Macaca fascicularis: one gene and its partners. The protein of the gene in region 6 interacts with the protein of the main gene of each other region in a pairwise test. Links are inferred from orthologs where the notes say so. Each region holds a gene or a part of one and is shown on either strand. Other genes may lie near its edges.

Region 1 (4,754 bases), on a different chromosome or scaffold from region 6:
AATAAACATAAACATATGAAAACACAATCTTACCACTAATCTAAGAAATACAAATACTAATATTGATAAATTAATTTGGAGATGTTGATTACAAATGTAAATGTAAGTAGTGATTACTTCTCAGTTTTATTTTGAGTTACTTTTAATTTCTTCTTTGTATTTCAATGTATTGTCTGACTTTATCAATGAACACATATCATTTTCACAAAATGTAAAGTTATCTTAACACCGACTCATTAGTTGTTTGCAACTAATGGATCAGAAAATAATTTAGAAACAGACCCAAGCAATTTATTTAATGTGATCAAAGTAGCATTTCAAGTAAGCAGGAGATAGAAAGATTACCAAATAAATGGTACTAGAAGAATTAGCTAGCTAATAAAAATAAGTATTTTAAAAATCTGGATCCCTACCTCATGACTCACTCTAAAATACTAATTCCTGATGCTACAAAGTTTAAAACATAAGAGCATACTTTTTGTAAAATCTCCATAATTTAAAAAGAAATAGTGAGTCTCAGAACAATATTTATGGTATAACACCATTGATGTAAATCATTGTTTCTATAACATATGCTTTGATTAAAATTATTCATCGAAAGGATATGCACTTAGTAAGTTTCATTCACCATTATACTACAATTCTCTACCACATTTGCCCAGCATACGACAGGCACAAAAATATATTAGCTGAATGACAAAAAAAATGAACCTTTATGCACTGTTGGAACTGTAAATTGTGATAATCATTCTGCAGAGAGTTTGGCAATATGTATACAATAATAATTCCATAATATGAAATGATCATTCCCAGGCCATTCATTTCTAGGAATTTATCTTATGACCAATTTTCAGAAGTGCATAGAAATATATGCTTTAGGTATCCAGGGACACTTTTATTATAGCAGGAAAATAGTATGTATATAAGGGGAGAGATGGTATAGAAATAGCCACCCTATAAGAGGAATCTGTTCAAATAAATTAAGGCAATTATTTCCATGGAATATGCACTTATTTAAAAATAAGATGTTGATCATTTGCCATGAAAATATAGCCATTAGTAACTGATAAATTAAATGAAAAGACTACAAAACATAATATGGTATCACATAGATAAAGCAGTATACATAAATAGGCAGGTATGTATATGCACAAGGAAATTTCTAGAAGGAAGTGCATCAAAATGCTAGTAATTCTTATCATTTGGTGGTTAAGATTGTGTGTTTTTACTACTGTTGGAATTTTCTGTATTGAGGTTTTATCTTTGCAATGTTCACAGACTTTGACAATTAGAGATATGCAATAAAAGTAAATGCATTTATGAGACAGAAAAGCATTTCATAACTTTTAAAAACGTGACTACATGACAAAGCACAAATTCTATAAAGATTAATCTAACTTTAATACAGTTCCTCATTTGAAATGAATAATTTATCATATTTCATATTTTAATTTACAACTTGTATTCTATGACCAGGTTAAGATAGTTAATGTGGTTAAGTAGGCTATTGTCTACATTAGTATGCCAAATTACCTCTGTGGATTTTCCTGTTTCCATAGAATTATCAAGATTATTATCTAAAATAAATCTCTAAATGACTGCATCCTGTAAACTTTTATTCAGATGGAGATGAGTAATTTTTGTCATTCTTTAAAATGTGCTAAATATGATCCTTACCTTTCAATGAAAAGTAAATACTCGTCTTTTTTATTGTACCAAGGTAGTTGTTCTGTAGCAGAAAAAAAAAATCCTGTAAATAAAAATAACAAATACCCGTTTTTAAACTTCATTTTGCAAAAGTTTATTCACATATTACTGGACTTGTAAATCATACTATAGTATGGCTAGAATTTTACAACATTAGAAGGAAATTGGTGGCAGATGACATCGCATACACTGACAGAAGATGCACATTCATTAGCACAAATTCCCCCTCCCATCCCACTGTTCTTGGAATTGAAACCTGCTGCACAAAAGTATAACGCAAATCATTTGCTTTTTAACAATACTACCTAACATTTAATACACTCTTTGTTTTATCTACAAGGTTGTTGCAAGCATTGAGAAGGGCTACGTGGCAAGTTAGCAGCAAGGTTGGGGTATATAATATGCCAGCCTAAAAAGAGAAATATAATAAAAATGGTGTAACTGACTCACGGCAACATGGGTTCGCAAACCTTGTAGATGGATATAAACCAGGCTTGCCAAACATCACAGACAGCACTTATTAAATCAGCTTCGTGGAATGCAATACGCCTGCTGTCTAGTCCCTCCCCCCTCTGCCAATAACCGACTCTCCCCTTTTTTATCCAGTGTAAAAATACTGCTCATAGAATATTTAGAGAAAATCGTTTTGTTTTTAAATCGTCCACAGTCACACTACCCAATGACGCCATTTGGACCATTTTCATTCAATTTTTTTTTTTTTCTTTTACAGATTTTTGTCAAGAGACCCGTGACAAACTAAACGGGAATTCAGGATGGGCGGATGGGAGAAGGAAGACACGCCTCTTCTGCCCTTGTTAGGAACTATGGCTGGTATTTTTACCTCATGTCTACGCTTTTTTTTCCTCTTTTAATTATAAAACTATAAATATAGACTTTTTGGGGGGCTCGGGGACACCTTCCAGGGGGTCGCACCTCAGCCGGCGAGCAGCGTCTGGGAAGGTGGGCGGAGCCAGGAGTAGTGGCGTTTGGCCGTTCGTTGGGCGTACGGTTTGTCAATTAAGGTGGACCAGCAAATGAGGAGCGAACTAAAGGCACACTGGGAACGAAATTAACGGGAGGTCTGACTGCGAGGGGAGGGGGCTCGCGATCTAAAACGAGAAGAGATCTCGGGGTCTCATACTGCGCCATTCGGCTGCGGTACATCTCGGCACTGTGTAGCTGCAGCCGGGAGAGGCCTTGCCGCCACCGCTGTCGCCCAGGCCTCCACTGCCGCTGCCACCTCAGCGCCGGCCTCTGCATCCCCAGCTCCAGCTCCGCTCTGCGCCGCTGCTGCCATCGCCGCTGCCACCTCCGCAGCCCGGGCCTCCGCCGCCGCCACTCAAGCATCCGTGAGTCATTTTCTGCCCATCTCTGGTCGCGCGGTCTCCGCGGTAGAGTTTTTCAGGCTTGCAAGATGGCAGAAGCAGATTTTAAAATGGTCTCGGAACCCGTCGCCCATGGGGTTGCCGAAGAGGAGATGGCTAGCTCGACTAGTGATTCTGGGGAAGAATCTGACAGCAGTAGCTCTAGCAGCAGCACTAGTGGCAGCAGCAGCGGCAGCAGCAGTAGCGGCAGCAGCAGCAGCAGCAGCGGCAGCGGCAGCAGCAGCAGCAGCGGCAGCACTAGCAGCCGCAGCCGCTTATATAGAAAGAAGAGGGTACCTGAGCCTTCCAGCAGGGCGCGGCGGGCCCCCTTGGGAACAAATTTCGTGGATAGGCTGCCTCAGGCAGTTAGAAATCGTGTGCAAGCGCTTAGAAACATTCAAGAAGAATGTGACAAGGTAGACACCCTGTTCTTAAAAGCAATTCATGATCTTGAAAGAAAATATGCTGAACTCAACAAGCCTCTATATGATAGGCGGTTTCAAATCATCAATGCAGAATACGAGCCTACAGAAGAAGAATGTGAATGGAATTCAGAGGATGAGGAGTTCAGCAGTGATGAGGAGGTGCAGGATAACACCCCTAGTGAAATGCCTCCCTTAGAGGGTGAGGAAGAAGAAACCCCTAAAGAAAACCCAGAGGTGAAAGCTGAAGAGAAGGAAGTTCCTAAAGAAATTCCTGAGGTAAAAGATGAAGAAAAGGAAGTTCCTAAAGAAATCCCTGAGATAAAGGCTGAAGAAAAAGCAGATTCTAAAGCAGACTGTATGGAGGCAACCCCTGAAGTAAAAGAAGATCCTAAAGAAGCCCCCCAGGTAAAGGCAGATGATAAAGAACAGCCTAAAGCAACAGAGGCTAAGGCAAGGGCTGCAGTAAGAGAGGCTCATAAAAGAGTTCCTGAGGAAAGGCTTCAGGACAGTGTAGATCTTAAAAGAGCTAGGAGGGGAAAGCCTAAAAGAGAAGACCCTAAAGGCATTCCTGACTATTGGCTGATTGTTTTAAAGAATGTTGACAAGCTCGGGCCTATGATTCAGAAGTATGATGAGCCCATTCTGAAGTTCTTGTCGGATGTTAGCCTGAAGTTCTCAAAACCTGGCCAGCCTGTAAGTTACACCTTTGAATTTCATTTTCTACCCAATCCATACTTCAGAAATGAGGTGCTGGTGAAGACATATATAATAAAGTCAAAACCAGATCACAATGATCCCTTCTTTTCTTGGGGATGGGAAATTGAAGATTGCAAAGGCTGCAAGATAGACTGGAGAAGAGGAAAAGATGTTACTGTGACAACTACTCAGAGTCGCACAACTGCTACTGGAGAAATTGAAATCCAGCCAAGAGTGGTTCCTAATGCATCATTCTTCAATTTCTTTAGTCCTCCTGAGATTCCTATGATTGGGAAGCTGGAACCACGAGAAGATGCTATCCTGGATGAGGATTTTGAAATTGGGCAGATTTTACATGATAATGTCATCCTGAAATCAATCTATTACTATACTGGAGAAGTCAATGGTACCTACTATCAATTTGGCAAACATTATGGAAACAGGAAATACAGAAAATAAGTCAATCTGAAAGATCTTTCAAGAATCTTAAAATCTCAAGAAGTGAAGCAGATTCATACAGCCTTGAAAAAAGTAAAACCCTGACCTGTAACCTGAACACTCT
Region 2 (4,590 bases), on a different chromosome or scaffold from region 6:
CCCATACTGTCCCTGGAATCTCCCACTATCTAACCTGACTTGTTCCCTAGTGGTACTGGGCAAATCCTGACTCTGATGGTGCCATTCCCACCCATCCCTCATACCCCAGGCTATAGCCCCAACCTCAACCTCCCACCTGTTAACTGCATAGCCTCACTGCGACACCATGAGTACTGAGAAGGATACAATCTCATGTCTCATTCATCACTGCACTCTCAGAGCCCAGCACAAGTCCTGGCTCACAACAGGTGCCAAATACCTGTCTGCTGAAAAGAAACTCCTCATCTGCTATTGCTGTTTCCTCTACCCAGAAGCCCCAACCTAGCACCTTCTTGGATCAATTCTCACATAGAGGCAAGCCTAGGCTGTTTGGGAGGCTGGGAACGGGTAACTCACCGTCTTTCATACTCCATGTCCTGATAGGGCCTTCGGGGGCTGCTGGGGCCCCTCCTCAGCCGCTGGCTCCGTTTCACTTCCCAGCCACCCCCGCTGCTGCTACCATGATCTGCCAGCCTGGGTGATGCTTCCTGCAGGGACTCTGCGGAGAATAGAGGGAAAAAAGGGGTCAAAACAGTTGGGACAGAGAAGGCCTCCTTGAGAAACCCTCGTTGTCAAGGCTCTTTGCCGCCCCTTAGCCCAGGGACATTGTCTTCTAGCTCCCAGCACTCCTGTGCATCACAGTGTGAAGGTAGCCCCTACTTGGCCTGCTCCTCCCTTTCCCCGCAAACATGAGGCTAGAGCCCACTGCCTTAAAAAACAGCAAAGACGGCCGGGCGCGGTGGCTCAAGCCTGTAATCCCAGTACTTTGGGAGGCCGAGACGGGTGGATCACTAGGTCAGAAGATCGAGACCATCCTGGCTAACACGGTGAAACCCCGTCTCTACTAAAAAATACAAAAAACTAGCCGGGCGAGGTGGCGGGCGCCTGTAGTCCCAGCTACTCAGGAGGCTGAGGCAGGAGAATGGCCCGAACCCGGGAGGCGGAGCTTGCAGTGAGCTGAGATCCGGCCACTGCACTCCAGCCTGGGTGACAGAGCGAGACTCCGTCTCAAAAAAAAAAAATAAATAAAAAAATAAAGAAAACAGCAAAGACTTCAGCAGACAAGGGGCATCTTGCAGAGAGACCTGGCGGGGCCACCCACGGTGTGATCAGGGCTTTGCCACCTAAGACAGGTAGACAAATTCAAGCCTGGGGCTGCATCCCAGGGTGGCCGTAGGGATACTCTCAGGGCTGAAAGTCTTGCCTGAGATTCAGCACATCAGGCAAGACTTCACAACAATGGGAGCCCCAGGCACCCACCAGGCTCCTTCCATGGGCCCCAAGGGACCATCTCATCCTCCCAACAAGCTGCTGGCTGTCCCCTATAAGGCAGCAAAAGACCATGAAAGGTTCTTGGGGGTGTGTATGAAGGGGCTAACTTGGCAACGAGACAGCTGCTACCTCCCTGGGCTCCTGGCCAACACAGCCTTGGCCCTCACACAGCAACTGGCTCAGCCCTGAGCCCTGTCTCCTATGTGCAGCCAGGTCCCAAGGTGATTCCCTCCCCAGGGCTCAAGCCCGTTTTCCAGAGGCAAAAGGGGCCCTTTTGGAGGCTGTTCTGAACCACCGTGCTCTTCTACTGGGATGGAGCAGCAGCCACTTCATCCAACCCTCAGGGCTGTGGTGAGAACTCAAGGAGTCCTGAGAACCCTGTGACCCAGCCAGAGGTCAGGATGAATCCCAGATCTTCAGGCTCCACCCTCTGAACAGGAATCAGGTAAAGCCAGGCAAAAATAGCACCTGCCCAACACTAGGTTGCTGCCACGCCTTTGCTCTATGCGCGTGCACATACACACACACAGACACACGCACATTCCAACTTTCTCTTCCTCCTCAAGCCACAGGGAACCCGAATTACCTGCTCCCAGGTGGGCAAGAGTTAGAATCACACCAGAGGCACTGGCGGCTGAGAGCACAAAAACCCTCAAGAGACTCTGGCAAAGGGGCCAGAGTCACACAGTAACATCCACCACAGCCAAGGGCCAGTCACAGACACGAGCCCCAAATAACTACGGGCCCACATCACAGAAGGAATCCACAGTAAGGACCACAATTACACACTAGGTCCTCTTTCCATGGATGAGCGTCACTCTCACAAACTCCCCAAAAGAAGGGGCAATGAGTCACACACACATTCCCTGCATCCCCCTCCCCACCCAGTAAGTGGGTTAGGGTCAATCACAAGACAGTCGTCCCCCAAGCCCCGCCCCATGGATAAGGATCTGAGTCACAGACACTCTCCCTCAAAGGGTAAAGACCAGAGCCACATCCTCCCTCTGATCCCCCAGGAATAAAGACCAGAACCACAGAATATTTCCCAATGGATCGATAAACACCAGAGTAACACAGAGCAGCATCCCCTCTCCTATGCACAAGTCGCAGACAACCGCTTCCCCAATGATAAACTTCGGTGTAGCCGACACAGTGATCCACAGTAGCCCACTCCCATTCGTCCCTCCCTTCCCCCAACCCGCACGCACCCATCCCATGTCCCAGTCGCGCACGCGCCTTTGCTCACACCAAAAAAAAAAAAAAAAAAAACCACCAAAAAAAAAAAAACAAAAAAAACCCCTCCCGGGTACAGACATTGCACGAACCCCTCCGTTCCGCGCATCCCACCGACCCGAAGTCCGCCCTCGCGCCTCCTCTACGTCCCCGCCCCGGGCCCCTTACCTCCGCCCCCACGACCAGCGTCGACGCTCACCTTCTCGGCCCGGGCTGTCAAGGGAGGGCTCCCAGACATCACCTCGGCCCGCCGCCACCTCCTCCAACTCTCCCAGCTCAGCCGGAGCCGGAGCGCGCAACTACCAAGTCCGAGACTGCAGGCAGATCGGGGGGAGGGGAGAAGCGCCAAGCGCGCTGCCCTCCCAAGGAAACTCACTGCCGCCTACTCCCAGCCGGCCAGTCACCAGCTCAAAATGGCGACGACGAGAAGGGAGTCGGCGCTCCGACCACCATCCACCTACTAAGGAAGCGCGCTCTGGCCGGCCCCGGCGATTGGTCACCGCCCGCCAGGGGACAGCCCTGGCCTCCTCTGATTGGCAAGCGCTGGCCACCTCCCCACACCTCCCCACACCCGTGCGAACGCTCCCCTAGTGGAGAAAAGAAGTAGCTATTGGCCAATCCGGCAGGGCCCGCTTTTTAGAAGCTTGATTTCCTTTGAAGATGAAAGACTAGCGGAAGCTCCACCTCTTTCCCCAAAGGGCGAGGGAACTCTGGGCGATTGGCTGGGAACTATATCCACCCAATGTCACCGATTTCTTCCTATCCAGGAAATGAGCAGATCCATCAATAAGAAATTTCTCAGCCTGGCCGAAAGGGGGAGAGAATGGTTGGCCCCACGAAGCCACGACAACTGGAGGCAAAGAGGGTTGCTCAACGCCCCGCCTCACTGGAAAACAAAATCAGATCTGGGACCTATATAGCATGGCGGAGGCGGAGCGATAATTGTCGCGCTCTCACCCACTGCAGCTGCGCACAGTCGCATTTCCGTCCCCGCCCCTCAGACCCTGCAGCACCATCTGTCATGGCGGCTGGGCTGTTTGGTTTGAGCGCTCGCCGTCTTTTGGCGGCAGCGGCAACGCGAGGGCTCCCGGCCGCCCGCGTCCGCTGGGAATCTAGCTTCTCCAGGACTGTGGTCGCCCCGTCCGCTGTGGCGAGAAAGCGGGCCCTGGAACCGACCACACAGTGGCAAGAGGACCCAGAACCCGAAGACCAAAACTTGTATGAGAAGGTAAGAGGCGGGGGGGGTGGGGGGGGACGGAACCCTGAAGGGGTCAATCCGGGATCGGCAGGTGGGGCGCTGTAGAGGACGTTCTTAGGCAGTAGAGGCCTGCGCGGCCGGCGAAAGCCTAGAAGACTTGGGAATTTTGCCTATCTTGTGTTCCTCCTTTATCTGTGGATATCCGCGTTCCAGGGCCAGAGGCAGGACTGGTTTTATTTTGCAGACAGAAATCACGCCTCAAGTGGACAGCGCTCAAAACGCATTAGAAGCAATATAGTAGTACAACAACGATAATACTAAACACCGATATGGTACTTGCTCGTTGCTGTCTGTGTTCTTTTTTTTTTAGAGACGAGATCTCGCTCTGTTGCCCAGGCTGGTCTCGAACTCCTGGCTCAAGCGATCCTCCCGCCTCGGCCTCCCAAGGTGCTGGGATTACAGGCAGGAGCCACCGCTCTGGGCCCCATCTGTGTTCTAAACACTTGATGTGCATTAGCTCATCTTATCCTAAAAACAAACCCCATTTCGAGGTAGGCACTATTATTATACTCATCCTACAGATAAGGAAACTGAAGCACAGAGCTGTTAAGTAGATTGCCCTAGCTCACATAACTGAATAAATGGTGGAGGTGGAACTGGTATTTGAATTTAGGGCTACCAGGTCTGCTGTGCTGTATTAATAGCAGACGCTGTGAAATCAGGCAGCACTGACAGTTACCTACCCATGTGACTTTGGTGGCATAAACCCTTGGTGCCTCAGTTTCTTTGTCTGTAAGATGGGAACAGTAATAGGACACCTAAAAAGTAAGACACCCCACCTGCCTCAT
Region 3 (3,871 bases), on a different chromosome or scaffold from region 6:
AGCTGACCTCCTTGGCCCTAGGGATCTTGGGGGGTACCCTGGGGCCAGGGGTTGTCCTAAGCACCTCTAAGTGCAAATGGAACAGAGACCAGGAGAAGGAGGCCCAAACCCCATGGTTAACCAAGCATGAGCCGAGAACCCAGTTTTTGAGGATGGAAAGGACTAGGGGCGGAGGGGAGGGACAGCTGTAGCTGTCATAGAGGGTTTGTCTGACATGGGAACCAGCTAGAGCATGAAGGAAACAGGATCATTCACAACATGCATCCGCAGACTAGGCTCTACAGCCAGTGACCTTGTGGATGCGCTCCACATCCACAGAGTAGAGGAGGCATTGCACTCCCGGGAGGGAGGGAGGCTGGAGCCTGGTCTCTCGTTCCCCTGGCTGACGCCAGGTCTGTGTCCACCCCCACAGAGGAGGCAGATGAGCTGGACCGGTTGGTGACAGCAAAGACGGAGTCGGTGCAGTATGACCACCCCAACCACACAGTCACCGTGACCACCATCAGTGACCTGGACCTCTCAGGGGCCCGGCTGCTCGGGCTGACCCCACCTGAGGTAGGTCCCAGTCTCAGCCCTGGGAAGAAGCAGTGTGGGGGCAGACTGGCTTCTCAGGGTTGCTCAGTGCTGGCCCATGTTGTGGGTACCCCACTGCAGGGGCTCCTTCCCTTTGGACCCTTCATTCCCTGCTTCTGGGGCGCTGCAGAGGCCAGCCCCACTGCTGAGCAGCTCAGGAACTTGGGCAGGCTCCTTCACCTTGCCTGCTTCCCTTTCTCCATCAGTGAACTGGGGGTTGCTGATGGTGGCACCTGCCTTGTGGGATTGGTGTGAGGATAAAAGTTGTTAATCTGTGTGAGTCACTTGGCGCAGCGCCCAGCCCTGTTGTAAGCTTCACAAAAGGTAGCTGTTTGTTGTGATCGTTCCCATTGTGCGATTTGCAGCCCTGGCACGTCTGTGTGCACTAAGTGGGTTTTCAACCTGTAGGTGGTGAATCATGAGTAGGTTGCAACCAGCATAAAAAAAAAATAATGTAATTGAAAATATCTGAAAGTATCATGTTAAATATTATTTCATGAGACAGCTGTTTCCATTGCAGTTGTATCTGGGTTTGCCTAAGAATTTATGGACATATATGCACACAGTTATGATATAAAACATATTTCCTTGAATGGGTTATCGTGTCCTTAAGTCCTGGAGCCACTCCCCATCACATCCATACTGATCTTGGGGCTGGGCACGGTGGCTCACGCCTGTAATCCCAGCATTTTGGGAGGCCAAGGTGGGTGTATCACCTGAGGTCAGGAGTTTGAGACCAGCCTGGCCAACATAGTGAAATCCCATCTCTACTAAAAGTATACAAATTAGCCAGGGGGCCAGGTGCAGTGGCTCATGCCTGTAATCTCAGCACTTTGAGAGGCCGATGCAGGCGGATCACCTGAGGTCAGGAGTTCGAGACCAGCCTGACCAACATGGAGAAACCCCGTTTCTCCTAAAAATACAAAATTAGCTGGATGTGGTGGCACATGCCTGTAATCCTAGCTACTCGGGAGGCTGAGGCAGGAGAATAGCTTGAACCCGGGAGGCAGAGGTTGTGGTGAGCCAAGATTGCGCCATTACACTCCAGCCTGGGCAAAAAGAGCGAAACTCCGTCTCAAAAAAAAAATTAGCCAGGCGTGGTGGCGTGCGCCTGTAATCCCAGCTATTTGGGAGGCTGAGGCAGGAGAATCGCTTGAACTTAGGAGGTGGAGGTTGCAGTGAGCCAAGATCGCACCACTGCACTCCAGCCTGGGTGACAGAGCGAGACTCCATCTCAAAAAACAAAACCAAACCAAACCATACTGATCTCACACCAGTCTTTCATTTTACGCTCATTCTTCTGCAAGGTCTGATACAAAGACAAGTCTTGTCCCCATTTTGCTAGGATTTTCATTCCTGAATGTTCAAGTACGTACTGGAAGCTTCTAGGGGCAGGAGAGGGTTTGGAAACAGGCCTTCCCCTGTGTAATCCTTGCTTTAGGACAGATAGACTGTTCTTCCATCCGAGGCCTTCTTTAGTCCCCTTCCAGGCCTATGATGCACTTGCCAGAGCCATGGTGGCTCGGGGTGTCCAGCCCAGGCCCCCCGAGCTACTGCTACCTGTCTTGTGCTTCTTTAGGGAGGGTCTGGAGACGGGTCTGAGGAGGCGGCGTCATCCATGGAGAAGCCAACCAAAGCCTTGCCCAGGAAGTCCAGAGACCCCCTGCTCTCTCAGCGGTGAGTCTTGGCCTGCTGCCTTCCCGGTCCCACCCCTCCTGGCTGGCAGTAGTGACCTGGCTCTTAGGGGTGGTGTGGAGCAGGTGTAGGGCCCGGAGCAGCCCTTTGCTTTGCCTGTCCAGTGATCCTCAGCCTCTCCTCATTGCCCCATCCTGTCCCACCCACCCCTGAGAGTGTCTGACCTCCGATGCCTTTCATGCCTGGGTGAAGGGCCTGTCTCTCTGAGTTGAGTTGCTGGCAAGCACTCTGGAGGTAGAGCAGGCCAACTCTGGCATGAACTTGGTGGTCCTGGCATTTGCAACCTGTCCTGACATCCCCTCCATGAGCCAGGTGGTGAGTCACTCCACAACGCAGTCTTAAACTGAGGCTTTCTGCCCATCCCCAGGATCTCCTCTCTCACAGCCTCACTGCATGCACACAGCCGCAAAAAGGTCAAGAGGAAACATCCCCAACGGACCCAGGACTCCAAGAAGCCCCCAAGGGCCACTCGTACCAGCAAGGCCCAGCGCCGCCGTCTGACAGGCAAAGCACGGCACAGCGGGGAGTGAGACCAAGAACCAAGCAGTGCCCCAGCCTAGGCTTCGAGGACCTGTCCTTTCTCAGCTTGGCTGTCCCTGTAGCCCAGCCTGCACCTAGGTAATGACTGCACAGCTCAAGGTTGGGAAGCCAGGAGCTATCTGGCCTGGGGCCAGCTGCCTTTGCCTGGGGTTTGAATTCTAGAAGGAGCAGGCAGCGGAGAGCAGGCCTCCCCCAGGAAGAGCCTTCAGAGCCTTCAGAGCCACGCTGGGGCATCTTCCCAAATGTGCACCCCACCTGGCACTCATCAGATTTCTGGAACTCATCAGAGAGTTGTGTGCTTGTGATTTGTTTGTCCGTGATACCACGCACACGGCAGGTTTCTGGGGTGGTGGAAATGGTCGGGGCCCATGGGTCTGTCTCCAGCAGTTTGCCCTGTGGCTACAATAAAGTCCAGTTCTCCCTGTGTTTTATTTATTTATTTATTGAAACGGAGTGTCGCTCTGTGGCCCAGGCTGGAGTACAGTGGCTTGATCTCAGCTCACTGCAAGATCCACCTACCGGGTTCCACCATTCTCCTGCCTCAGCCTCCTAAGTAGGTGGGACTACAGGTGCCCACCAGCACGCCCAGCTAGTTTTTTGTATAGCTCTCCCTGTGTTAAGATACTAACCAGGGTTAAGGATCCGTGTGTCCATTGCTAGAATCCAGAGCCCACCTGCTGCTCTGAAAAGCAGGCTTCTGAGGCCAGTGGGGGAGCAGTGCCCCCCATGCCCTTCACCGAGGAGCCTCTGTGCCTGTGCCTTGTCCTGGGCCCCAGGAGTCTCCTCAGCTGACACTGAAGTGGTAGAAGCAGTCGAGTCCCAGGTCATTCCCCATCACCACACTGGGGCAGCGTCCCCAGACTTCCAGTATCTCCCAGGCAGGGCCTAACATGGAAGGATTAATTAATTCTTTTTAAAGCAATTGCAACCCAGCTCAGTGGCTCACGCCTGTAATCTCAGCACTTTGCGAGGCCGAGGCGGGCAAATCACTTAAGGTCAGGAGATCGAGACCAGCCTGGCCAACATGGTGAAACCCTGTCTCTACTAAAAATACAAAAATTAG
Region 4 (3,992 bases), on a different chromosome or scaffold from region 6:
GGCTACAGATATTGGGAGGATGGGGGTCAGTACAAGAGGAAACAAAGGCTAGCAACGTAAGTAGAAAATAACTAAAGCTTTCATTAACACCATGAACATTCAGAAGGACTGAAGAGATTCACTCAGAAACAGTCTCAAACTTGGGCCTATTATGTTTTTAACTTTAAGGGTGGGTCTTAAAGTTGCTAGTAAGTAAGTTCAGGTAGTAATTAAGATGCCAGTATGAGAATGTCTTTAGCATGCCAGTATGAAAATGATTAGAGGAAGACTTGGGAGGTGGAAATGTATGTCAAATGTACATAAGAGAAAGGTGGCATCTGCATGAAGTACAGCAGCTACTGACTTCTTTAACAGAGGACTATCAAAAGATAGACATGACCAGGCGCCATGGCTCACGCCTGTAATCCCAATACTTTTAACTAAAGCAGGAGGATTGCTTGTGGCCAAGAGTTTGAGACCAGCCTGGGCAACACAGCAAGACTCTATCTCTACAGAATACTTAAAAATTAGCTGGGCATGGTGGCTTGTGCCTGTAGTCCCAGCTGCTCCAACTGAGGCTGAGGTGGGAGGATCAATTGAGCCCAGGAGTTCGAGACTGCAGTGAGCTATGATCATGCCACTGCCCTCCATCCTGGATGACAGAGCAATACCCAGTCTCAAAAAAAAAAAAAAAAGAGGGCATGTGCAATTATCTACACAAGACAATGAAGGCTTTTGTTCAATGAGAGCCTCTTCATGGGATAAATAGCTGTTCAATTAGATCATAATTAGAAAAGCCATTCCCCGAAAAAAGGAAGCAGATGACTTACATGCAAGGAAGAACAAGCCCAAATTCTTAGACCTTATTACCCCATCTGTGGTCAACACTGGGGCCATATAAATGAAAGAAGAAAATAAAAAATAACAAAAACAGATAACTTAGACAGACGTAGCACAGATATACCACATATAACCCTAAAGGTGAAAAACTCTTAAAAAGTAGAAAGATTACAGAGTTTTTAAAAAACTGTATCTTACCTAATAGTTTTAATTTCAGAAGTTTATTTCCTAAAGGAATTACTCAAAAGGAAAGAAAAGTAATTTTTTTAACTTTTTACAAAAACAACAGTTTTTAGCTATAGTATTTATGATAATGAGAATTTTAGGAACTGCTTAAGTGCAAGACAATAAGAGAGGTGCTAAACTGACATAGGAGCACCACAAAGGCCTCTAACAGGGTTCCCTCTAACAGGCTTTCCTCTGTAACAGGCTTCCCTCTGTAACAGGGTTTCCTCTGTAACAGGGTTCCCTCTGTAACGGGGTTTCCTCTGTAACAGGGTGTCCTCTGTAACAGGCTTCCCTCTGTAACGGGCTTCCCTCTGTAACGGGCTTCCCTCTGTGACGGGCTTCCCTCTGTGACGGGCTTCCCTCTGTGACGGGCTTCCCTCTGTGACAGGGTGTCCTCTGTAACAGGCTTCCCTCTGTGACAGGGTGTCCTCTGTAACAGGGTGTCCTCTGTAACAGGCTTCCTTCTGTAACGGGCTTCCCTCTGTAACGGGGTTTCCTCTGTGACGGGCTTCCCTCTGTGACGGGCTTCCCTCTGTGACAGGCTTCCCTCTGTAACAGGGTGTCCTCTGTAACAGGCTTCCCTCTGTAACAGGCTTCCCTCTGTAATGGGGTTTCCTCTGTGACGGGCTTCCCTCTGTGACGGGCTTCCCTCTGTGACGGGCTTCCCTCTGTGACGGGCTTCCCTCTGTGACAGGGTGTCCTCTGTAACAGGCTTCCCTCTGTGACAGGGTGTCCTCTGTAACAGGGTGTCCTCTGTAACAGGCTTCCTTCTGTAACGGGCTTCCCTCTGTAACGGGGTTTCCTCTGTGACGGGCTTCCCTCTGTGACGGGCTTCCCTCTGTGACAGGCTTCCCTCTGTAACAGGGTGTCCTCTGTAACAGGCTTCCCTCTGTAACAGGCTTCCCTCTGTAATGGGGTTTCCTCTGTGACGGGCTTCCCTCTGTGACGGGCTTCCCTCTGTGACGGGCTTCCCTCTGTGACAGGGTTCCCTCTGTGAAAGGGTTCCCTCTGTGACAGGCTTCCCTCTGTGACAGGGTTCCCTCTGTGACAGGGTTCCCTCTGTGACAGGCTTTCCTCTGTGACAGGGTTCCCTCTGTGACAGGGTTCCCTCTGTAACGGGCTTTCTCCTCTGTAACGGGCTTTCTCCTCTGTAACGGGGTTTCCTCTGTAATGGGGTTTCCTCTGTAACAGGGTTTCCTCTGTAACAAGGTTTGCTCAAGTATGGTTCCTCCCTGTCTGGTGGGACACTGAGGTGATTAAGTGGGTCAAAAAGGAGCATTTGTTTTGTATGTATTGCTACAGAGAAAGCTTTTTTTTTTTTTAATGAGTTAGTTTAAAGAAAAATATTAAGTAAACAATAGTACAGGCTGTTAGTAGATATATGAAAAACTATGAAGGCGATAGAGCAAAGACTGAGATTAAGGAAACACTAGATACCTATTAAAAATAAGCATATAGGGTGTGCGCAGTGGCTCACACCTGTAATCCCAGCACTTTGGGAGGCCAGGATGGGCGTATCATGTGAGGTCAGGAGTTCAAGACCGCCCTGGCCAACATGGTGAAATCCTATCTCTACTAAAAATACAGAAATTGGCTGGGCATGGTGTCATGTGCCTGTAATTCCAGCCACTTGGGAGGCTGAGGCACAAGAATCGGTTGAACCCGGGAGGTGGAGGTTGCAGTGAGCCGAGATTGGGCCACTGCACTCCAGCCTGGGTAACGGAGTGAGATTCTGTCTCAAAACAAAACAAAACAGAAGCATATAAACCAGACCCGTACAGCTGGCTAAGTGTAAACTGACAAAAATTAAATTTGGAATCAAAACATTTATTTTTCTTCTATAAAATTCCTTGAGGGCCTGGGAAACTGAATATTGTTAGAGATGATGTTTCCTCTGCTGTGATAATTTTACGAATTGGCATTTTCATAAAGTCACTGCCCAGTTCATATGTTGTTCGTTAGTTGTTAAATGCCTTAAGTCACTACCAAGAAAGTGAAACATTGGGCAGAATTTCAATTACTGCCATCACATGCAGCCTTCACATTGATTCCAAAGCCAGAAGAGACATGTTGTATCTCATTTATGTTTTAGCCAAAGCCTTCTCAGACACACATCATCACTTAAAGACTGTGAGATAAATTACTACCTTGGCCAGTGAACACATTACGTCCTCTGTATGGTTTTTATCAAGTAACTGCCCAGTGCTCCCATGACGCTGGTCAGGTCCCCTTGTTAGGCCAGCAAGGGCCATGGTTCCTTGATAATTAAGTGTTAACATGTTACACTCCTTTTTATGGTTACTGGTGACCTACTTTGCAGAACAATTTGTTCATTGCAGATTATGATGATGGCTTTTCAATGAAGCATACAGCCACCGCCCGTTTCCAGAGAAACCACCGCCTCATCAGTGAAATTCTTAGTGAGAGTGTGGTGCCAGACGTTCGGTCAGTTGTCACAACAGCTAGAATGCAGGTCCTCAAACGGCAGGTCCAGTCCTTAATGGTTCATCAGGTAAAGTCATAAAACTTTCAATAAAATGGACCTATACCACAAATCCCAGCTGACGTGATTCCTACACCATGCCTAAATGTACCTGTTAAATATGTCAGTCTAAACTGTTCCTGATTTGGAGAAGAGGTTTAAGGAAGTGGACCTTTCCCAAATGTTTAATAAGTTTGTCATTAAAAACTATAATATAGAACCTTGTAATGGAAGGTATATTTGTTAAGAAGTACATGTGAACTTAAGAATTTTGAGGCGTCCTATCAGTCTTTACTGCTCTACTAAATACTTTTTCCAAAGGAATTGCTCAGGCCTGAAACAGTATTCTTTAACATTTACCTATTGATCATAATCATTTCTTTGTGCTGCATTTTGTATTTTTTAAATCTTAGCTAGACTCATGTAATAAATGATCTAAAGTTCAAAACATTATTTGGTACAC
Region 5 (4,490 bases), on a different chromosome or scaffold from region 6:
TGACAGACAAAAAACAAAAACAAACAGCACAAGCAAAATACTAATCATAATCATCTACCACTTCCTGAAACAGTCTGGAAAATGATCAGAATTTTTGTCTACATGAAACTGTGTAGACTGTTTATTGTGACACCTAGGTTTTCAGTTCCTCTTAGTAGCTTACACTGATTCTTTGAAGCCTACAGGGCTCCTTTGCCTCAGCCCCACTATATACAAGTGCACCTGAGGCACACTGGTTCTCTACTAGGCTTTGCCCACCTTTACAATGGTTCCAACTCAACACTCCACCCAGGAAGCATTGTTTGCAATTGTGGGAGCACTCCAGACTCTTTCAAACTTCTTATTATTCTTACAGTTATTTTGTAGGAATGACCTGGAAAACTTGGTGAGGACTGACTCACCACTGAAGACTGTGATCATCAATCACGTCCCCCTTGAGAGGGGCTCTATGACATGCTGTGGCCCCCATTCCACCCGGTATATGCATCTACCACGATGCCTATCTTATACTAGTGGCCTGTAAAACTCTTAATACTAAGATGTGTTATTACCTATTGTCATTGTTTCCTCAAACAATGGCTTAGAAAATGCTGACTTAAGATAACTAATTGATAAACTGGGCTAAGATAATAGACAGAAATTAAATAAAAAAAAAAATCCAGGTTAAACAGTAAGGTGGGTGGCGGGGGGGCTCTAAGATCAGGAGATGAAGGTGAACACAAGGAGATGAAAGCTGGAACTTGTCCAATGACCCTCCCCAACAAAAATAAAAAGGCATAAAAAATATTTTTATTTTCTATAAATACATTAGGAAATGTATTTCTTCCCAACTCAGTCCACGCCATTAACTGTCAATTTTTTCTACATAAAAAAGATGCTAATACCACCCTCACCTGTGACTGCTAAACAGAGAAAGATTGCCGGGATTATTGCAGGCATTATCCCCCTAGTTGGAAATAAAGGCCCATTCCTGGGGGCAGAACGTGGGATTTTTAGGGGACCCTATAGACGTAGGCAGCCAAGAGTCAAACAAAACAAGCATATGCAATAGTCATAATCATGCTAGTATGACAGTATGAACTAGGTGACTCAGCCAGGCATATACAGGAGTTCGGAGTGAGGATAGTGGAAGCCCTCAAAACTTGCACGTTTGGGCCCTTAGCAGAGACACTTGGTCTGAGAAACACAGTAAAATGTTTGCCTGGATAGTCACGATCATTCTAGTATGAGGTAGACAGGAAGCAGAGCAGGGCTAGGAGCTGGAAGGGGCCACCCTGGCCCTCAGGAGTCCCTGACAAGGGAAGGTCCCTCCATGCTCTCTGAGGGTGGTGGGGCTCCAAAGATCCTGGCCAGGAGCCCTTTGTTGGAGCGGGCCTTGTCCTGGGCAGTCGCCAGGCGAGCCCGTTCACGACCCCCTGGCCGTGCTGCTTTCCGGGCCCTCAGTTCCTGCTCAGTAGGACGTTGCGCAAATGTCCAGGAGCCATCTGGGCGAGCAGGGTCCCCATCGGCCGCAAGAAAGCGTTGTCCCCGTTCCACACTTTGAAGATAGAAGTCGGTCTCACGCTTGGCCTGAGCAACCTCCGCTCTCAGGCGCTGCCTGCGCACCTGGCGCTCAAAGGCAAGGTGCTCACTGAGGTGGGACCAGGTGAAACGGTGCAAGTACTGTGGGCAGAAAATAAGAAAAGATCAGGATAGTGCAGATTAGGGAGAAAGATGAGACAGGGGACAAGACCAATGAGAAGCCATGGGTATACCTGGGCCAGAGCTGGGGAGAAGGGAGGGTGAGAGGTGTGGCAGAAAGATCTATCTCCTCACCTTGAGGTTCCAAAGATCATAACGGAAGGGGCTGCGCCTGCGGGCACCCATAGGCGTGTTGTGTAGACTGGCCGCCACGCGCTTGGCTATGCGCTTGTCACGGAACTCCACCCATCCCTCGGTGTAGTCCTTGCTGTAGGACCGCTTTTTTCCTCCCGCAGCTGCTGCTGCTTTCTTCTTGCGTCTCACGAACCGATCTGAGCGCCAAAGACAAAAAGACCCGTCAGGGACTATGCAGCACTCACTCAAAACCACTTCCCACTGCCCGCATCGTTCTTCACATCTGCCAGCGGGAGTTCCACCTGAGAGTTTTTGCCCAGGAGGGAGGGAACTGTAAATTGCACCCTTTCCTCTAGCTAACTCAATTATTTCCTTAATTGTCCACTCCTTAATCTGGCCGGCTTTGAACGCTATTTAACACCCGCGCAAGTCCCCAACCTCAATGTAAAATTGAGGGTGGAAAGAGGAAGGGCGGTTGATCAGTTTCTTGACCTAGGCCGCGATGCTAAAGGGGTATGTTCAGTTTTGTAGAAAAGCTAACGAGGCTTTTACTCTGTTGTACTCATGTAACAAACCAGTAAACAGATCCGGAAAGAGAGGTGAGCAGGGCCGGGATAAGAACACGAATAGTAACAATCCGAGAACTAAAGAACCACCAGACGCACTGCGCTACCCACTCTCCCCATATCCCCTCCGCCCACCCACCCCAGCATCCTCACAGACTGATTCACCAGCCAGGAGCCGAGCACCGCACTCCCCACCCCCAAAATCCAACAACTCGTGCCTCAGTCTTGCGCAGCGAAGCAACAGGACATCCATGCTTGCACCCCGCCAGCGAGCGACAACCTCCTCCTTTCACCGTCAGGGTCTGCATACTTACCCTCAGCCTGAAAGAAGACGCGTCCGACCTCGCCATAGGCGCTGAGAAGGTTACGGACGTGCAGAGGACGGAAGCGCGGCGGGATATGGCCCAGGTACACAATACCTGGCACTACCCGCTTATTGCGGCCACAGGCCGCTGCTTCGGATTCCTCCTGCTCCTCCTCCGCGTCTAGTGTCTGTTCTGTCCCTTTCAGCGGCTCGTGCTCCGTTGCGGCCTTCTCCGATTCCTCTGCCTCCATGTTGACTGACATGAGCGGCACGACGGCCGTAAAGTGCCTTGCCTACTGACGCAAAACGTGTGCGACGGCCTGAGACGAGGGGGCGGGGCCAAGGCGGTGATGACAAATGAAAGGATATGATTGGCGATGCAGTCGGGTCAAGGGGAAGGCCGAGGGGAGAGGGCGGAAGTGGGGTGTCAGGTGGAAAGCCAGATTTAGAGCGTGGAAGCGGGATAGGAAGCTTGTTTTAGGTTCACAGATTCCCTGTTACATCTCCAACTCAGGACAGGCAGAACCAGAAAAGGCAGATCCCCAGATACAACCTACCCTATAGAACGCCGCTAAAGGCGGGTTGATGCCGGGTTTTTAGGGAATTTTGTAGAGCAGTTTTAGGGAAGTTTCTGTGTGTTCTAGCGATCAAAATAGCATTTTATTCGAGGGCCCTGGTTGCGATTCCAGCTGAGGAATGACTCACCTTTTAAAGTTTATACATTTCATTTAAAAGATTTGAGTTTTGAAGTTTTAATTATTTCTGGAAATTTACCTTGGAATTTTGAATATTTTAAAATTTAATTTTGAAAACGGTTAATTTTGGAAATTAGATTTAATTTTTGAAAATTTAAATTGCGAACTTTCAGTTTAATATTTTACATTTGATTTTGTGAATGTCTGAAAATTTAAATGTGTGACAATTATTTGAATAATTTGTTTGGCATCTATTACACATGTGTATTGATACATTATCCATATGCATACTTACGTTGCAAATACTTGTCAGAGGCGCACACGCCTCCAATTCTGGCGACCCCCCCGGCGGTGCGCTTAGTTCTGCCCTCCCTGGGTCTGTCCTCACAGATTCCCCATCAGATCACAAACCAATTTTCCTTCTATGACCTACGTAACCACAGAACGGACAAGGCCCCGGCGGTCCTGCTCCTACCAGGCTTAGGCGAACCATCCCTAAGCCAAGCCCATAGCCGTTTTCCCCGCGCGGGCTCGAGTCCTCAATCTCTTACCGTCGCCCGAGGGCGCGACCAGCAGGGGGCGCCGTCCCCACCCTTAAGGCGTTTCAGTTCTTGCGATCCGCGCCAGCGACAAGCTGACTGCAAAGGATATTGCTGGGAACCGAGTACAAATAATCCGATTAGCTTTCTGGAAGCAGCCCGGGGCAAGTTTGAGGACCATCAGTATAAATCCGCCCTTGCTGCGGCCTGACAAAATTTCCCATCTCGCTCCAAGAGCGCAGAGTAGCCCAGAGAATGGAAGCAGGGAGTAAATGTGTCCACTATTAAAATCAGGGATGACAGTTTTTGCCAGTCCCCAAGTATATTTCTAAAGTAACAGGGCCCACACTCTTTCATGGAGTGTCTAAAAGTCTAATAATAGATTCTTCGAATTCAAATACTCCTGTTTCATTAACTTTATTGAAGAGAACTTTCTGTCAGGTGTACACTGCTCCTTTTTTGAAGAGGGGAGGGATATAAAAATCCCGTTCCCCACATTCCTCATGATCCCTCCTCAACTTGGTGAAAATTGAGTCTCACTCGACTGTCCGTGAAGCAACCCTTGTTAGCA
Region 6 (3,992 bases):
GATTATAGGTGCCCGCTACCACGCCCGGCTAATTTTTGTATTTTTAGTAGAGACAGGGTTTCACCGTGTTTAGCCAGGATGGTTTCGATCTCCTGACCTGTGATCTGCCCACCTTGGCCTCCCAAAGTGCTGGGATTACACTGCACCCGGCGTGAGCCACTGCACCCGGCCAATATATAACATTCTTAACATGGCAAACTTTCCATTAAGCTCAAGGCTTCTTAGAGAGACCATGCTTTTACAGCATTTTCTAAAAATAATTGGCTTTTATACCCAGTATCCTATTAAACATTAAGGAAAAATATCAGGCCGGGCGTGGTGGCTCATGCCTGCAATCCCAACACTTTGGAGGCCAAAGCAGGAGGATCACTTGAGGTCAGGAGTTCAAGACCAGCCTGGCCAACATGGTGAAACCCCATGTCTACTAAAATACAAAAATTAGCTGGGTGTGGTGGCGCATGCCTGTAACCCCAGCCACTTGGGAGGCTGAGGCATGAGAATTGCTTGAACCTGGGAGGCAGAGGTTGCAGTAAGCTGAGACTGAGCCACTGCACTCCAGCCTGGGCAATAGAGTGAGACTCTGTCTCAAAAAAAAAAAAAAAAAAAAATTCAGTAGTCAGTAACACTGTGGGACGGAGGAAATAGGCCAGTAATAAGATATATGTTCCTTTTAAAAGCACCAACTGTCAGATTATGTAAGGGTTCTTCTAGGAAAACTTGCAAAATGTGGTTTATGTGGTATACATTGTATGTTTCCCTTCACATATGCTGTAATATAAAACTGGGGGTCAGGTGTGGGGAAAGTTGCTTTAACTATAGCTACAAGGTTTTGATAATTTTCTAAAAATACCAGGTTTATGTTAGAGATGCCTAGTCTTTTAAAAAAATCCTTAGCATTTATCTTCTAATCAAATAAATATGCTATTAATGATTATTCAGTGGTCTATGGTAGTGTCCTAAAAATAGGACTTATTGATACGATCAGAACTTACATGATGTTGCTAACAAAGTTGGAATTTCTCCATATATAATATTCCCTGAGAACAGGCTTATGCTGAAGAGTTCCTGACCTTCTTTATAGGCTTTACAATCTATTTTTATCTTGAAAATACTTGGCATTTCCTCCATCCCTAAGGGTTTGAGATTATCTTAGATTGTCAAGTTACTTAAAAGATGCTATTCCAAGGCTGGGCACGGTAGCTCACACCTGTAATCCCAGCACTTTGGGAGGCCAAGGCAGGTGGATCACTTGAGCCCAGGAGTTTGAGACTGGTCTGGGCAACATGGTGCAACCTTGTCTCTCTCTATACACACACACACACACACACACACACACACACACACACACGCACACACACACACAAATTAGCTGGGCGTGGTGGTGTGTGCCTATAGTCACATACACACAGAAAAGATGCTATTCCAAACAGGGAAGGTAAATAAGTTTTAAAAGTCTTTAATTTCACCCCTCCATGAATTCTGGATAATATTTATTTTTATTTTTATTGTTTAGAGACAGGGTCTCACTGCATTGCTCAGACTGGACTTAAACTCCTGGGCTCAAGTGATCCTCCCACATCAGCCTCCCAAGTCGCTGGGACTACAGGCGTGTGCCACCATGCCCGGCCATTCTGGATGATACTTTGTAAACTTTTAAAACAAATACCTCTGGAGGTCTTCAGGTCCTAATACCTGCATAATCTGCTCATTCACATCTTCATTAATCAGCCTACAGAGTTTTCCAACAGTGCTTACCAGCACACACAATGAAGATGAACTATCTGCAAAAGAGAAATAAAAGGATATTTTAACAGAGAATTTTCAAAATTACATACATCAAACATTTTATGCTTCAGTTATCCTCAATTTTTTTCACTTAAAAATTTTTTTATCGGCCAGGTGCGGTGGCTCACGCCTATAATCCCAGCACTTTGCGAGGCTGAGATGGGTGGATCACCTGAGGTCGGGAGTTCAAGACCAGCCTGACCAACACGGAGAAACCCCGTCTCTACTAAAAATACAAAATTAGCCAGGCATGGTGGCGCGTGCCTGTAATCCTAGCTACTCGGGAGGCTGAGGCAGGAGAATCGCTTGAACCCGGGAGGCGGAGGTTGCGGTGAGCCGAGATTATGCCATTGCACTCCAGCCTGGGCAAAAAGAGTGAAACCCCGTATCAAAAAAAAAAAAAAAAAAAAAAAAAATTATCTACTTTTTGTTAATTTACTAAAAATTCTTAAATGGGGGCCAAAAATGACAAACTAGGTCATCACCTAATTCTAAGAGTTCTTGGAGGTTTCTCACAGCATTGTTCATTTCTCCAAGCCTAGTATAAACTTCATTCATTCGGGGATAGACTCCATTTAAAGAAGGCACATCAAATAACTTTTGGAAGTGAGAGACAATAGCTTGCAAAGTTTGAAAGTTTGGCATATTGCTGTCCTGTCCAAAAGAGAGGTAAAAAATAAAGAGTTCATATCTTAAAATAATCCCAAATAAAAACTTTTAAAAGACAAACAGAACTCTAGTAGAACAAATATTAATATCCACATCAAATTATCAATTTTTGAGATAAGAGAACATTAGAATGTGACCATTTATGTAAGTATTACCTTTTCCTTATTTTCAACTTCTTCCAACATAGTATCTACTATAAACAACAAATCTTCAACTTTGATACCTTCATTTTCATCCTGCTTCTTCAAATTATGCCAAGGTACCAGTTCTGCAGATAGTGTTTTCAAGGACTTATACAAATCCTTTATAACAAAAGAAACTATATGGTATTATTGATTTAAAATAATACTATTGAAAATTAATTTCAATAGTAACATAATAGAACATAACAAAATTATAAGTTTTATATATGTGTTATAAAATTAATAAAAAATTACACAGGTTAAATTATATATATATAACCATCAGTATTGTTTAATAAAAACACTATTACCGATTTAGAACAAGTCAGTTAAAATTAGGTTTCTCCAGGTAAACACAGGCTTTACAGAAAACATTATACACTGATTATTCTGAATCTGGGTGCTCTAAGTAATTTTATGTTATTTATTATTGTTCCATATTATTTCATTATTTTGAATTATTGATACACAAAGAATAAACTTGCCTTTGTATTTTGGTTTTGAGTATGTTATATAACAGCTTTATTGAGATGTAATTCATATACCATAAAATTTACCCTCATTAAGTATACAATTCAGTAGTTTTAATATTTTCACACATGTACAAACATCAGCACTATCTAATTTCAGAACATATCCATTACTCCAAAAAGAAATCTCAGACCCAGTCACAGTCCCTCCTTCCCCATTTTCCCTTCCCTGCAGTTCCTAGGGTTGATCTCTAAACTACATTATATTTCTAAGGATTTGCCTATTCTGGGCATTTTGCATAAATGGAATTATACAATAAGTAGTCTTTGATGAATGGCTTCTCTCACTTAGCATAATGTTTTTGAGATTTATCCATGTTATAACATGTATCTCTAGGCAAGTTTTCAATGTGAAAGGTTCCCCAAATTTATTCTACATTATAATACTCAGTTTTCTTGGCCTAGTTGTGGTGCCCTAATTGATTTTAAACTGTGCACAATGGGCAAGGCTACTGAAAGTTTAGAGCTCTAAACTGATCAACTGACAAATATTTACTGAACATCTACTACAGGTTGAGAATCCCTAATCTAAAAATCTGAAATGCTCTAAAATCTGAAACTTTGAGCAACAACATGACACTCAAAAGAAATGCTCATTCGAGCGTTTTGAATTTCGGATTTTTGGATCAGGGATGCTCAAATGGCATATATTCTGCAAATACTCCAAAGTCTGAAAAAATTCTTAAAACACTTCTAGGCCCAAGCATTGTGGATAAGGGATACTCAATCCATATGTGTATGGCACAGTGCTTGGTCCTTCAGAACAATGCTGTTCAAAAGAAATGTAATGTGAGCCACAGGAATTTTAAGTTGTCTAGGGCCATAG
Region 7 (3,992 bases), on a different chromosome or scaffold from region 6:
AGTTGGAGGCTGCCGTGAGCTGTGATCACATCACTGCACTCTAGCCTGGGTGACAGAGCAAGACCTCATCTCTAAAATAAACCAAGAAAATGCAAGTGTGGAGATATTCCTTCCTATAAAAGTTAGGGTGAAGGTTTGAAAAGTCTTGATGAAGGTGTATCATGTAAAACCAAATAAAACACCTGCGATAAAATCAGGTACAGGCACAAGACTGAGGGAATACATCATAAAAGGTTGGACTGCTTTCAAAGTAGCTTTACTCTGTTGATTCATTTAAAAAAAAAAAAGAGAGAGGAAGTAGTAGACAATGAATTCTGGGAGTGGTTTATGCAAGAACCACAGTGTGAGAACTCGAATCAGGGGATATAGCTTCAAAGAAAGGATCTTTTAGAAAACTGTCTTGGGGTCAGCCATGGTGGCTGATGCCTGTAATCCCTGTGCCTTTAGAGGCCAAGGCAGGAGAACTGCTGGAGGCCAGGAGCAGGAGACCAGCCTGGGCAACACAGCCAGACCACATCTCTGCAAAAACAATTTGAAAAATTAGGGGCCAGGCACAGTGGCTCACGCCTGTAATCCCAGCACTTTGGGAGGCCGAGGCAGTTGAATCACCTGAGGTCAGGATTCGAGATCAGCCTGGCTAACATGATGAAACCCCATCTCTACCAAAAAAGACAAAAAAATTAGCCGGGTGTAGTGGTGGGTGCCTGTAGTCCCAGCTACTCGGAAGGCTGAGGCAGGAGAATGGCGTGAACCCGGGAGGCGGAGCTTGCAGTGAGCCGAGATCGCGCCACTGCACTCCAGCCTGGGCAACAGAGCAAGACTCCGTCTCAAAAAAAAAAAAAAAAAAAAAAAAACAAAAATTAGCCAGGCATGGTGGCAGGCACCTGTAATCCCAGCTACTTGGGAGGCTGAGGCAGAAGAATCGCTTGAACCCGGGGGGCGAAGGTTGCAGCGAGCCAAGATTACACCACTGCACTCCAGCCTGGGCAACAAGAGTGAAACTGTCTAAAAAAAGAAAAAAGAAAAGAAAAATTAGTCAGGCATGGTGATGTGTGCCTGTGGTCCCACCTACTCAGGAGACTAAGGTGGGAGGATTGCTTGAGCCCAGGAGGTTGAGGCTGTAGCGAGCTGGGACTGCACCACTGCACTCCAGCCTGGGCAACAGAGCAAGACTCTGTGTTTAAAAAAAAAAAAAAAAAAAAAAAAGAACAATCGTTTCTGTGTGTCTGTGTTATTGGTTTATGAGCCCCTACTTTTACCACCTTCTTCAATGAACAAACCAGAGTGGCTGAGGCCACCTTGGATGAGTCAGCTGTGGTGGAAAATGCTGGTCATCTGCCAAAGATCCTGCCCCCCTTCTTTTTTTGTTTTTTGAGATGGAGTCTCACTCTTTCACCCAGGCTGGAGTGTAATGGTGCAATCTCGGCTCACTGCAACCTGTGCTCCCAGGTTCAAGTGATTCTCCTGCCTCAGCCTCCCGAGTAACTGGGATTACAGGCATGCACCACCATGCCCGGCTAATTTTTGTATTTTTAGTAGAAATGGCGTTTCCCCATGTTGGCCAGGCCAGTCTTGAACTCCTGATGTCAGATGATCTGCCTGCCTCAGCCTCCCAAAGTACTGGGATTATAGCACTTTGAGCCACGGCGCCTGGCCTCCCTTCGTTCTAGTTAGCAGCACAGCCAGGCACAGACCAGCTGGAGGACGCATCTCAGTTTCCTTCGCAGCCAGATGGGGCCTTGTGCCTGTGCTGTGGCCTATGGCGTGAGAGAAGAACTGAGCTGGGCCACATCTGAGGCTGAGTGGTCCTCCACGCACCTTTTGCCTTCCCACAGCCAGACCCCGAAGGTGCTCTGAGCCAGCTGTGAACATAGTGCAGGAAGCCATGCTCCAGGAGAAGGAAGGAGCCTGAATCCCTGAATGGCTCCATGGAGCAGAGCTGCCCGGAAGTCCTAGAGTGTCAGCCCAGGGCTCTTACATGATTGAGAAATAAACTTCCATGTTCTTTCTTTACATTCCCTTCTTTCAGCAGCTTAAACAGGGGTTGGCAAATTACAGACCCATAGGCCTGGCACAGGTTTTAGTAAATTAAGTTTTTTTTTGAGACAGAGTCTCACTCTGTCACCCAGGCTGGAGTGCAGTGGCACGATCTTGGCTCGCTGCAACCTCCGCCTCCCAGGTTCAAGCGACTCTCCTGCCTCAGCCTCCCGAGTAGCTGGGATTAATAAGCGTGAGCCACTGTACTCAGCCTTAATTTTTATTTATTTATTTTAGACAGGGTCTCGCTCTTGCTCAGGCTGGAGTTCAGTGACACTGATACAGCTCACTGTAGCCTTGACCTTCTGGGCTCCAGCAGTCCTCCTGCCTCAGTCTCTCAAGTAGCTGGGACCACAGACATGCACCACCACCCATGACTAATTTTTGTAATTTTGTAAAGAAGGGGTCTCACTTTGTTGCCCAGGCTGGTCTCAAACTCCCGGCCTCAAGTGATCCTCCTGCCTTGGCCTCACAAAATGCTGGGATTACAGGCAAGAGCCACTGCACCCACCCTATAAATAAAGCTTTTATTGGCACCAGGCAACGCCCACTTATTTACACCTGATCATGGTTGTTGTGGGCTATAGCCACACAGTGGAGGAGTTAGGATGCAGACTGGCCTTTTAAGAAAAAGTCAAGTTCTGGCTGGGTACAGTGGCTCAGGCCTGAAATCCCAACACTTTGGAAGGCCGAGGCAGGCATACCACGAGGACAAGAGATTGAGACCATCCTGCCCAACATGGTGAAACCCCGTCTCTACTAAAAATACAAAAAATGAGCCGGGTGTGGTGGTGGGCGCCTGTAGTCCCAGCTACTTGGGAGGCTGAGGCAGGAGAATCACTTAAACCTGGGAGGCGGAGGTTGCAGTGAACCGAGATTGTGCCACTGCACTCCAGCCTGGTGACAGAGCAAGACTCTGTCTCAAACAAACAAACAAACAAACAAAAGAAAAAGTCAAGCTGACCCCTGGCTTCAGTTATCCCTAGTTCACCTGGGAGTCCCCGGGACTCAGGCAGCCCCCCTCACCTCGTCCAGGATGGCGGTGGGGTTGGGCCGAAGGGCTGGCTGCAGGGGCGCAGGGGCAGCCTCATCCTCTGAGTCGGAGTCCTCCAGCAGCCTTCGCTTTCTGGCTTCCTCCAACAGGGCTCTGTGGGATGGAAGATGGGAACCTGGACGTGCTCTGCACGGGGAACAGGGCCTGGGATGCGCCTGCTGGGGTGGCGAGGAGCCTGGGTGCCTAGAGACCTCTTTCTGTCCCCAATGAGCAGGGGTGGGAGGGAGTGGGGGCACACAGATTACTGTCTTTTTTTTTTTTTTTTTAAAGAGACAAGGTCTAGGCCGGGCGCGGTGGCTCACGCCTGTAACCCCAGCACTTTGGGAGGCCGAGGCGGGTGAATCACGAGGTCAGGAGATCGCGACCATCCTGGCTAACACGGTGAAACTCCGTCTCTACTAAAAATACAAAAAATTAGCCGGGCACGGTGGCGGGCGCCTGTAGTCCCAGCTACTCGGGAGGCTGAGGCAGGAGAATGGCGGGAACCCGGGAGGCAGAGCTTGCAGTGAGCCGAGGTCGCGCCACTGCACTCCAGCCTGGGCGACAGAGCGAGACTCTGTCTAAAAACAACAACAAAAGACACAAGGTCTCACTCTGTCACCCAAGGCGGGGTGCAGTGGCACAATCATAGCTCACTGCAACTTCCACCTCCTGGGCTCAAGTGATCCTCCCCACGCAGCTTCCTGAGTAGCTGGGTCCACAGGCGTGTGTCCCTATGCCTCATTAATTTTCATTTCATTTAATTTTTGAGACAAAGTCTCGCTCTGTGGCCCAGGCTGGAGTGCAGTGGGGCAATCTTGGCTCACCGCAACCTCTGTCTCCTGGGTTGAAGCGATTCTCCTGCCTCAGCCTCCCGAGTAGCTGGGACTACAGGTGCCTGCCACCATGCCTGGCTAATTTG

What was found.
Region 1: the proteins of CEP70 (region 6) and FAM133A interact in binary tests that used the Homo sapiens proteins (3 or more experiments, as listed by UniProt). The two-hybrid records come from large-scale screens. The link is inferred for Macaca fascicularis from reciprocal best matches to the Homo sapiens genes CEP70 and FAM133A.
Region 2: the proteins of CEP70 (region 6) and RBM10 interact in binary tests that used the Homo sapiens proteins (3 or more experiments, as listed by UniProt). The two-hybrid records come from large-scale screens. The link is inferred for Macaca fascicularis from reciprocal best matches to the Homo sapiens genes CEP70 and RBM10.
Region 3: the proteins of CEP70 (region 6) and NOL12 interact in binary tests that used the Homo sapiens proteins (3 or more experiments, as listed by UniProt). The two-hybrid records come from large-scale screens. The link is inferred for Macaca fascicularis from reciprocal best matches to the Homo sapiens genes CEP70 and NOL12.
Region 4: the proteins of CEP70 (region 6) and SMARCE1 interact in binary tests that used the Homo sapiens proteins (3 or more experiments, as listed by UniProt). The two-hybrid records come from large-scale screens. The link is inferred for Macaca fascicularis from reciprocal best matches to the Homo sapiens genes CEP70 and SMARCE1.
Region 5: the proteins of CEP70 (region 6) and ABT1 interact in a two-hybrid assay, tested with the Homo sapiens proteins (2 studies listed by BioGRID and IntAct). The two-hybrid records come from large-scale screens. The link is inferred for Macaca fascicularis from reciprocal best matches to the Homo sapiens genes CEP70 and ABT1.
Region 7: the proteins of CEP70 (region 6) and YJU2 interact in a two-hybrid assay, tested with the Homo sapiens proteins (2 studies listed by BioGRID and IntAct). The two-hybrid records come from large-scale screens. The link is inferred for Macaca fascicularis from reciprocal best matches to the Homo sapiens genes CEP70 and YJU2.

What each region holds. Positions count from the first base shown.
Region 1 is NC_088395.1:100,196,491-100,201,244, reverse strand, and holds the start of FAM133A (protein FAM133A), read right to left. Parts: upstream 3,122-4,754; 5' UTR 2,641-3,121; intron 2,414-2,640; exon of another isoform or gene 2,158-2,413; intron 1,751-2,157; 5' UTR 1,678-1,750; intron 1-1,677. Other genes in the region: NAP1L3 (nucleosome assembly protein 1-like 3), read left to right, coding at 3,122-4,651.
Region 2 is NC_088395.1:47,252,484-47,257,073, reverse strand, and holds the start of RBM10 (RNA-binding protein 10), read right to left. Parts: upstream 3,007-4,590; 5' UTR 2,783-3,006; coding exon 2,713-2,782; intron 539-2,712; coding exon 397-538; intron 1-396. Other genes in the region: NDUFB11 (NADH dehydrogenase [ubiquinone] 1 beta subcomplex subunit 11, mitochondrial), read left to right, coding at 3,566-3,772. UniProt on the Homo sapiens protein: Binds to ssRNA containing the consensus sequence 5'-AGGUAA-3'. May be involved in post-transcriptional processing, most probably in mRNA splicing. Binds to RNA homopolymers, with a preference for poly(G) and poly(U) and little for poly(A).
Region 3 is NC_088384.1:13,945,018-13,948,888, reverse strand, and holds the end of NOL12 (nucleolar protein 12), read left to right. Parts: intron 1-412; coding exon 413-555; intron 556-2,152; coding exon 2,153-2,250; intron 2,251-2,635; coding exon 2,636-2,798; 3' UTR 2,799-3,234; downstream 3,235-3,871. UniProt on the Homo sapiens protein: Multifunctional RNA binding protein that plays a role in RNA metabolism and DNA maintenance. Participates in the resolution of DNA stress and the maintenance of genome integrity by localizing to sites of DNA insults.
Region 4 is NC_088390.1:61,716,090-61,720,081, reverse strand, and holds part of SMARCE1 (SWI/SNF-related matrix-associated actin-dependent regulator of chromatin subfamily E member 1), read left to right. Parts: intron 1-3,386; coding exon 3,387-3,559; intron 3,560-3,992. UniProt on the Homo sapiens protein: Involved in transcriptional activation and repression of select genes by chromatin remodeling (alteration of DNA-nucleosome topology).
Region 5 is NC_088378.1:146,290,710-146,295,199, forward strand, and holds ABT1 (activator of basal transcription 1), read right to left. Parts: upstream 2,944-4,490; 5' UTR 2,937-2,943; coding exon 2,696-2,936; intron 2,013-2,695; coding exon 1,816-2,012; intron 1,663-1,815; coding exon 1,282-1,662; 3' UTR 770-1,281; downstream 1-769.
Region 6 is NC_088376.1:41,339,163-41,343,154, forward strand, and holds part of CEP70 (centrosomal protein of 70 kDa), read right to left. Parts: intron 2,757-3,992; coding exon 2,610-2,756; intron 2,440-2,609; coding exon 2,271-2,439; intron 1,782-2,270; coding exon 1,667-1,781; coding exon of another isoform or gene 1,654-1,666; exon of another isoform or gene 1,441-1,653; intron 1-1,440.
Region 7 is NC_088393.1:5,001,527-5,005,518, reverse strand, and holds part of YJU2 (splicing factor YJU2), read right to left. Parts: intron 3,185-3,992; coding exon 3,064-3,184; intron 1,973-3,063; exon of another isoform or gene 1,836-1,972; intron 1-1,835.